Bombyx mori: one gene and its partner. The protein of the gene in region 2 binds, or shares a complex with, the protein of the main gene of each other region. Links are inferred from orthologs where the notes say so. Each region holds a gene or a part of one and is shown on either strand. Other genes may lie near its edges.

Region 1 (3,326 bases), on a different chromosome or scaffold from region 2:
TGAATTTGTTAACAAAAATAATTCTAAGTAATAATCATAAAAAGCTGCAAAACACTATCTTACGACGAAATTGTAATGGTCTTATCAAACAGTACTGGTTATACAATTAGGATGTACACGCTTTTTAGCCTTTCGAAGTTATTCGATTTTCAGGCAGAAAACTAAACAATTCGTCGAATAAAAAGTCAATATTAGTGCAAATGAGTCTCGTCAATTTAGAACGCCATTTTGTTATTGGTGTTCAGCAAATATATGAAAAAATATATTTTTGTTGGAAATCACATGCTGACATTAAATTTTTTTTGTTAATTCCTCTTTTTTCCCCCATTTTTTTGTTTGTGCAGCGATTACTAACTTGTAGTCTGGTAGAATGTATTGTCATTTATTTAATTAACTTAATGCCTATTAATAATACTGACTTTGATATTAGTTGTAAAGCTACAATGATTATTTCTGTAATTTCGCTATTTATTTGAATAAATATTTATAAACCATTGGCTTTATAATTTCAATTATTTACTAGTTTCCTAGTTTTGTAGAGCTGTAGAATAAATAAAACTCCTATCTATTAGAAAATTTAGTATTTCATCAGTGGCCACAATAATTTTCTTACATAAAAAACGTGTAAACATAAAATCATCATAAATTTAACAAATAATACTTCCCAGGTAACAAGCACCAACTAATTGTGAAATTTGAAAAATATATTATACTATGTGCATATAGTGCAATAGACCAACCATAAATCCTGTTAGATCCACATCATAATTCAATTACAACTAATCAGACCTCTACAAAATTTACAAACTAAAAAATTTAGTATGTGCATTATGAAAAAAACTAATGTAATACAAATTTCAGTATCAGTCATTTAAAAACTTACGATTTGAGTATAAAGGATTGATGGCTGGTGTTAATAACAAAAATATTTTTTTGAACAGAAAAATCAAATATATTTTAACATCACAAAATATTTTTTCTTTAGCTTTTAAAATTTTGACATCTATACACAAAAGAGAATAATTTATTTCAAATGATGCCTGTCAATTGCCACCTATGTTAATTAAATATTTTAGGAAACAACAAATTATTTGGTTTAGTTTATAGATAAGTTAAATTTAAGCGCTAAGTTGCTTTATTATTTGACAAATAGCTTCAAAATAATAAATTTTAAATTAAATTAAAAATTGACAGGCTCACTCGATGCGTTTTAGCAGCTGCTTCGTCATAATGAGAATTAACATTTACTCGTCAGGACTAGACACAGAGATTTAAGTGAGTATACAAACACACGAAAGAAATGCATGCATTCTTCTTAAATTAAATGGAATCACTATGACTTCCGTTACTAACAATAGTCAATAATATATACAACAAAAATATATTCGAATAATATTGAATTATAATGGACGTATAGTTTTTCCAGATTATTTCCATCGATGTCTGGTTTCTTTGTTACTGTCGCTAAACTAAATATAAGTAAAACCATAGACAAAAAGAGATCAACTAGGTATTGAAAGACAGCGGAATTCGTGCAATCATCTTCCTACCGAAAGTGACAATATTTTCGTATTCGATAATCAGGATATCATCTTACCACCGTTTAAACGGTCAAATCCATATCTATCATAAAATAAATATTTATCCACGAAAACGAGGTTTACTTAAGATAGGCGCGCGAGTTGAATGCAGAGCCGGATGCGGTTGTGCTTTATTTAAATCAGTTGATCGTTACTCAATTACTAAAAATAATATTTTAAAATATATTATATTTTTTTATTTAACGCAATTAGTGCGAGTGTGCGTCTGATTCGAGGTGCGGAGGGCGGTGGACGCTTGGGCCTCACACAGTAACTGCGTGCAATCCGTGCGCTTATTCTAAGAAACCACCGCAATAAAAAAATTTGGTGCATTTAATACTTTTCGAATGAGTTTTATAAATAATAATTCAAAAAAAGCTCCATTAAGGTGTATAAAGAACAGATAACTACTGAGACGTGAGGCGAACTGGGGAATCATCATCACCAATGTACACCCCACTTTAATTACCAAAAATAAACTGACCGGCAGTGTAGCAGAGCGATTTTAAATGTGTAACCATAATGCAGATTCGACATAAGAAAAGTTCTCAAAACTTTTATTCGAAATAAAAAATAAAAAATAAACCTTGTGCTGCTGTGTCTAATGGCTATGATGCTAATAAAGAATAAAACGTGAAAACCCGAATCATATTTTAGTATATGATTCTGAAAATTTTCATTTTATTTTTTTAAGTTTCATAAATAACAAATATATTTCAGTGTCTAGTGCGGGAATCGGATAGCGCTATTTTCTTTTGGTAATCAAACAGTCGGGGTGATTGTATTGTAATGGTGATTCGATCGAAGCCGGCGTCTTGCGGCGTGCGGTTATTCCGGCTCCGGCGAGTCGGGCGCGTCCACTGTGGCCACGGACGTGCCCCCCGCCGCGCGGACCTTCTTCAAGTAGGACGCGCTGTCGAACTCCAGGCAGCTCTGTTGATACGTAACTAATTTATCGCCTCGAACTGAAGCCAACACACCACATACAAACCCTTTCCATTTCCCGAAAGCGCTAATGTTTAATGTTTAAGCATAATCGACGCTTGAAAGGCAACGTGACTAAGCGACAATGCGTGAACTTTACGGTAGACTAAAGTTGAAATACCCGAAAAATATTATATTTTAACGAATCTAGCTGTAGGATTGAAATGATTTTAATAGACCTAGAAATATATATATTTTTGCGCATCGAATATGGTTATTGCCTATCATTTATGTATAAAGCAGTTATTAGCATTTGCCTTTCAAGCGTCGATATAGTTTAGAGAATAATCAGCGATAGTAGATATTAGTAGTATTATTAGTAGTTAATGGGATGAGCGGAAGAATAGGCCACAAATTTTTCATAGTTTATATTCATAATAACAGAATTGACAAGCTGTATATATAAACCACACATTTAATTTCAGCAACTACAAAACAAAACACAGATTAAATATTAATCACATAAAATTTACAATTTAAAAGCGAAATTGAAACGATGGAATTGATTTTCTACCTGTGACGAACCTCTCTGGAATACCCATTCTGTACCAGCAGCGTGAACATACACATACAATGTTAGTATAGCGTTATATACCTTAGATTTAACACAAATATTAGATAATTTTAATAAATTATATCTCAGTCTTATAAACTCATTTAAAAATTTAACTACACCCTCACAAACTTATTTTTTTAATATACTTTATCATATTCAATAATAACCCAAAAGACCAGGAAGATCCTAATAATTTACATTAAAAT
Region 2 (4,332 bases):
AGACATGAGACAAATTCAGATGAATTTTATCTTTCAGTCTGTATATTTTTTTATTTATTCCTCTGCACTACAGATATTTTAGGGTTTATAAGGATCCATAATGTTTTAATCATTATCAATTACAAGCTAAACAAATTAAACTAATACATATTGTGATGATAAACAGTTTCCTTTGATACTTCAGTATTGTACGTGCTCATAGATAATAAGATAATTATATGCACTACTGCATATATAATTAGAGAACACAGTACAGCAGATAGTTTAATTTATTTATATTTGTGCATAGTATAATACAATTTAAATTCACAAATCACTTTAGATAATTCTATAATGTGAGTTGTGCATTTACTAATTATGTTTGTTTAACAGATGCTCTGTTAGTGTTTGGCTCGTTTTCCAACATGACCTTGGCTAATGTCATTACTTATTATTCATGTTAACAAGAACACAACAAAACCCTCTAGATATTCATAGAACTTAGAATGTTATGTAATTTCACTAAGAAAATGAAGATTTTTATTTTGAAACTTACCAATTTTATCTACTTTTGGTCTGACATTAACAACAGCACCACAAATCTCATCTGAATTCTCGAAATTTTCACCAATTAAAAGAAGAACCTGAAAATTAAATACAATATCTTCAATTTTAATGCATCTCACACACATCTCTGGTTCCTTGTTGTAGGTGCTTACTGGTCACATCCTTCCACACATCCACATTACTTCAAACAAAGATCAACAGAACATAGAGCCAAGCATACAGCTTGTAGGTAATGAGATAGGAGATGATCCTTCATCTCCTTCCTACAATACAGTTTCTATCTGTAACTGTATTCTAATATTCAACAGGATTTGAGTGGGCAGCCTTAACTATTTGAGGCATGATTTGTGGTTTCTTAGAAACCAATGATCTTAAATAAGCTACAACATCTTATTAAATGTTTATAAACATGGGATAGTGCAATCAAGCTAATATTCACTCACAAACATGTGCTCAGAAAAACTTGTCATATTTTTAGAAAATCTTTTCCTTTCATTATGTCAAACTTGATACTCAAAAAAGAAGTATTCTAAAACGGTATATAATAAAAAAGTTTAACATACCACATCTAACCAGAACCTATCTAAATCAGTAAAGCGTTGTTTTTTCTCAAGACTGATAAGCCATCTTCCTCCCATCTTGTTAGCATCGTCTTCCCACATAGGACGAATGCCTTGCTTGAATACTGCATAGTCATGACCTTGGCGAAGTTCTGACGGTAGCTTAATATGATGGTACAATCTGTAATGTGCAATAACAGTTTTGCTTAAATAAAAACCTACTAATTACTAAATTGACTACTCAGAGTAATTTTTGGCATTTTCTTATTATAATGGAATGAATCTATAGAATTAATGAATGAATACATGTTGACAAAAATAGAAACCATGTTTAGCACAGGGGGCTACGACAGACACATTGTATCTGCCATTTGACATCTATCAGTAAGCAATGAGTAGTCACTGGTTCCATAAGTCACTCATTATTTTTGATGTATTTCTTAAAAGTTTTTTGTGCAAAAACCCCTCAATGATTTTTTGAACATACTTGATGTATTGGTGCGCGAAAGGGAAATATGTCATGGACCTATGGCATCCATCACTCCATTCTACATGTTAGATACATTATTATTATAGAAAATATAACAAGTAAATAAAAGAACAGATGATTAAATCGACAACTAATCACATTAATTATAATAGATACGTAATAATTAGCTCTATAAGAAAGTGTTCTAGTTTAATCTTGAGCAAAATTAATTCTGTTTAAGTTCAGGTTCCATCAGAATTTACTTTCTCATCTAGGTTGCAAATGTATAGAAGTTGCATGAATGTACTTCTAAAATGTATGAAATTTATAATTTACTTCTGTAACCGGCATTTTCCTTTACCTCCAAAAGTCTTCAACTGTGTCGAATGTAGTCAACTCAATAAGATTCTCCTCCCATGTTTTGTTTCGGTCATTGTCGTAAAACCAGAGACTCCACTGGTTTTGTAACGGGTGCTTGATCAAAAATTCAGGGGGCACCTCCGCGTTACTGTTGGTCTTCGTTTCAGTGGTAGTAGACCCCTTAAAAACACAGGTCATTTTTATTAGTGAACCTAACCTAAAAAAAATATTGTTATTTTCGTAGAAGTCGTTTAACGACTTAATCCGGAATATTTTTACACAGAAAACCACTCGAGCGAGGTAAAGTTATAATTTATACTTGAAAACTAGACAATTATGCTAACAAATGTAACAGTGAAAGTTAACGAAGCCACATCAGCAAATTGCGGCAAAATTATAGGTTTTACGATTGTATAACCGGCAAAACGAGGTAGAAAATTACTTTGTTTTCTTAATAATTACATCTACCCACCTCTACTTCTTCTGTAGTATTTCCAGCCATATCTTGAGAGGATAACGATGCAAATTTCCTACGAAAAGGAGCGACAGAGTCAACGGGGTTGCCAAATCAGAAATCGCGTAAATTATTTATTATTTTATAAAGTGGATGTGCGCTAATCATGGTCTAGATTTATTTAAGGGTGTCATTTTTTTGTCTACCTATGTTGGTGATCTCATGGGATTATACCAGCTTCACGAAGCGAGTAGGCGAGTTCACGGGGCTAAGCCTGGTGAATTTGCTAACACTAGCCCTATTAAGAACAGTGCTTCGCAGTATCTACCACCAGATCGGAAACACGACCCACTGAGAAGATTCGGCGAGAAACTCAGTGGGCTGATTAACTCAGGGTTAATTTGCTCGCCGAACCCTTCGTCGCATTCGAGAGGAGTGACGAGAATGGTCACCAGTACTGGGGGGTGCCTAAAAGCACCGATAGTGGATCGCGAGGATCCGAAATGACGTGTTTTGGGCAAATGGAAAATATTAAATCACGGCATTTCCATCATCACCTTATAAACACAGGCCTTTTCCGAAGTTGGCTACAGTGACCAGTCGAGCAGATCTCGTGACCTTCACCAGGTCGGTCCTTCGAACCGTTGTGAAAGGCCTACCCACAATGCGCCTTACAGCGTGCGATTGCCATTCGAAAACTTTTGAGCAGAGTAGCCACCTGTCTTACCAGCAATATACCAAAGCATAGCTGTGAAAAGTTGTTTCGCTGCTGACCTCTATTTAGAACTAGCTAATAGAAATCATCGTATGATATCCTTATCTATGCACAACCTCTTTTTTTAAAGGGATTTTATGACCTGGTAACTAAGACCATTAAGTCTTATTTTAATTTATTTTCTTATGTTTATGAAAAATGATAATATGGAGTCAAATGAAATGAAATGAAAATGAAACGAAATGAGATGAAATATAACCTCAGTAAAATGGTGATCATTTACTGAGACTTTTTCAGTGGACTTTTTGGAGGATCCCGAGAAGCTACGTTCAGCGGCTTTGTTTCATTTTCCCACATTTGTGCACTTTCTCAGATACTAAACAGTTAATAAATCACCGTTATTACACATTTACACCTGAAGAAACACTAAATAGACAAAATAAAACAAATCACACAACTTCACTTCTCGAGTTCCCGCCAAAAAGGCATGCACAACCCTATGCGAGCACAGACCGGAAATAAATTCATAATAAAATTGTAATTTGTAATTCACAATTCACCAAAGTGTATAATCTATGCAATTCACATTATTGATCGGTTTCAAAACTCCGTGTGCGTCGTCTGGTTTGCCGGCTTAATCGACGGTTAATAATTAGATTATACAGTAACAAAACAAAATTTAATACATCACTGTAAAATGTCAGTTCACAATATCTTATTGGATTTCTCGATTGAAGCGGCCCGTCTGGAAGATGAAAACGGCCAAAAAGATATCTTTGGACAATTGGAAACTCTATTAAAAGAATATATACCAAATTTGATCCTAGCCACCGACATAAAATTGGAAGATGGTTCATTGAAATTATTAACCGGTAATAAAGGAACGACTGTATCCGTTAGGATGTTTGACCGAGGTTTCATTACTTTAAATATTGAATTTTACAAGGGCGGAAATGAGGAGTCCGTGATCGATCACAAGGTGAGGATTATATCGATTGAATGTATTGAGTGCTATTATTTTATTTTGGCACATTATATTATTATTGTAAAGTCTTTGCGAAACTCGGTAGAAAAAATAAGAAGTACTAAAAATAGTTTAACCATTTTATCATATGATCTTTTCTATGCATTGTTAAAAATACTAAGATTTTAATTTAAAAAAAATTAAGCATTAACTGAAGGACCAATTTTTTTATGGACTACCTTAATTGCATAAAAATTTGCAAGC

The links. The genes of interacting proteins can lie anywhere in the genome.
Region 1: the proteins of mRNA cap-binding protein eIF4E (region 2) and eukaryotic translation initiation factor 4E-binding protein Mextli are in contact, whole or in part, in a crystal structure (PDB 5ABV), measured with the Drosophila melanogaster proteins. The link is inferred for Bombyx mori from reciprocal best matches to the Drosophila melanogaster genes eIF4E1 and mxt. Residues at the interface, in NP_001261626.1 of Drosophila melanogaster: Lys80, His81, Pro82, Leu83, Met84, Tyr91, Glu93, Asn105, Glu106, Ile107, Thr108, Ser109, Val113, Glu114, Trp117, Ser118, Leu119, Tyr120, Asn121, His122, Ile123, Lys124, Pro125, Lys130, Tyr135, Asn171, Leu174, Asp175, Leu178, Ile181; in NP_001260053.1 of Drosophila melanogaster: Val579, Ser580, Tyr581, Ile583, Leu586, Leu587, Tyr589, Ser590, Ser592, His594, Ser595, Trp596, Thr597, Leu598, Pro599, Asp601, Trp602, Lys604, Met605, Thr608, Ala609, Ser611, Ile612, Leu613, Arg614, Asn615, Leu618, Arg624, Phe625, Tyr630.

Annotation. Positions count from the first base shown.
Region 1 is NC_085110.1:13,311,054-13,314,379, reverse strand, and holds the end of eukaryotic translation initiation factor 4E-binding protein Mextli, read right to left. Parts: intron 2,514-3,326; coding exon 2,409-2,513; 3' UTR 567-2,408; downstream 1-566. UniProt on the Drosophila melanogaster protein: Plays a role in promoting translation.
Region 2 is NC_085128.1:2,391,784-2,396,115, reverse strand, and holds the start of mRNA cap-binding protein eIF4E, read right to left. Parts: upstream 2,845-4,332; 5' UTR 2,438-2,844; coding exon 2,408-2,437; intron 2,116-2,407; coding exon 1,937-2,115; intron 1,288-1,936; coding exon 1,110-1,287; intron 624-1,109; coding exon 536-623; intron 1-535. Other genes in the region: spermine synthase, read left to right, coding at 3,802-4,083. UniProt on the Drosophila melanogaster protein: Recognizes and binds the 7-methylguanosine (m7G)-containing mRNA cap during an early step in the initiation of protein synthesis and facilitates ribosome binding by inducing the unwinding of the mRNAs secondary structures.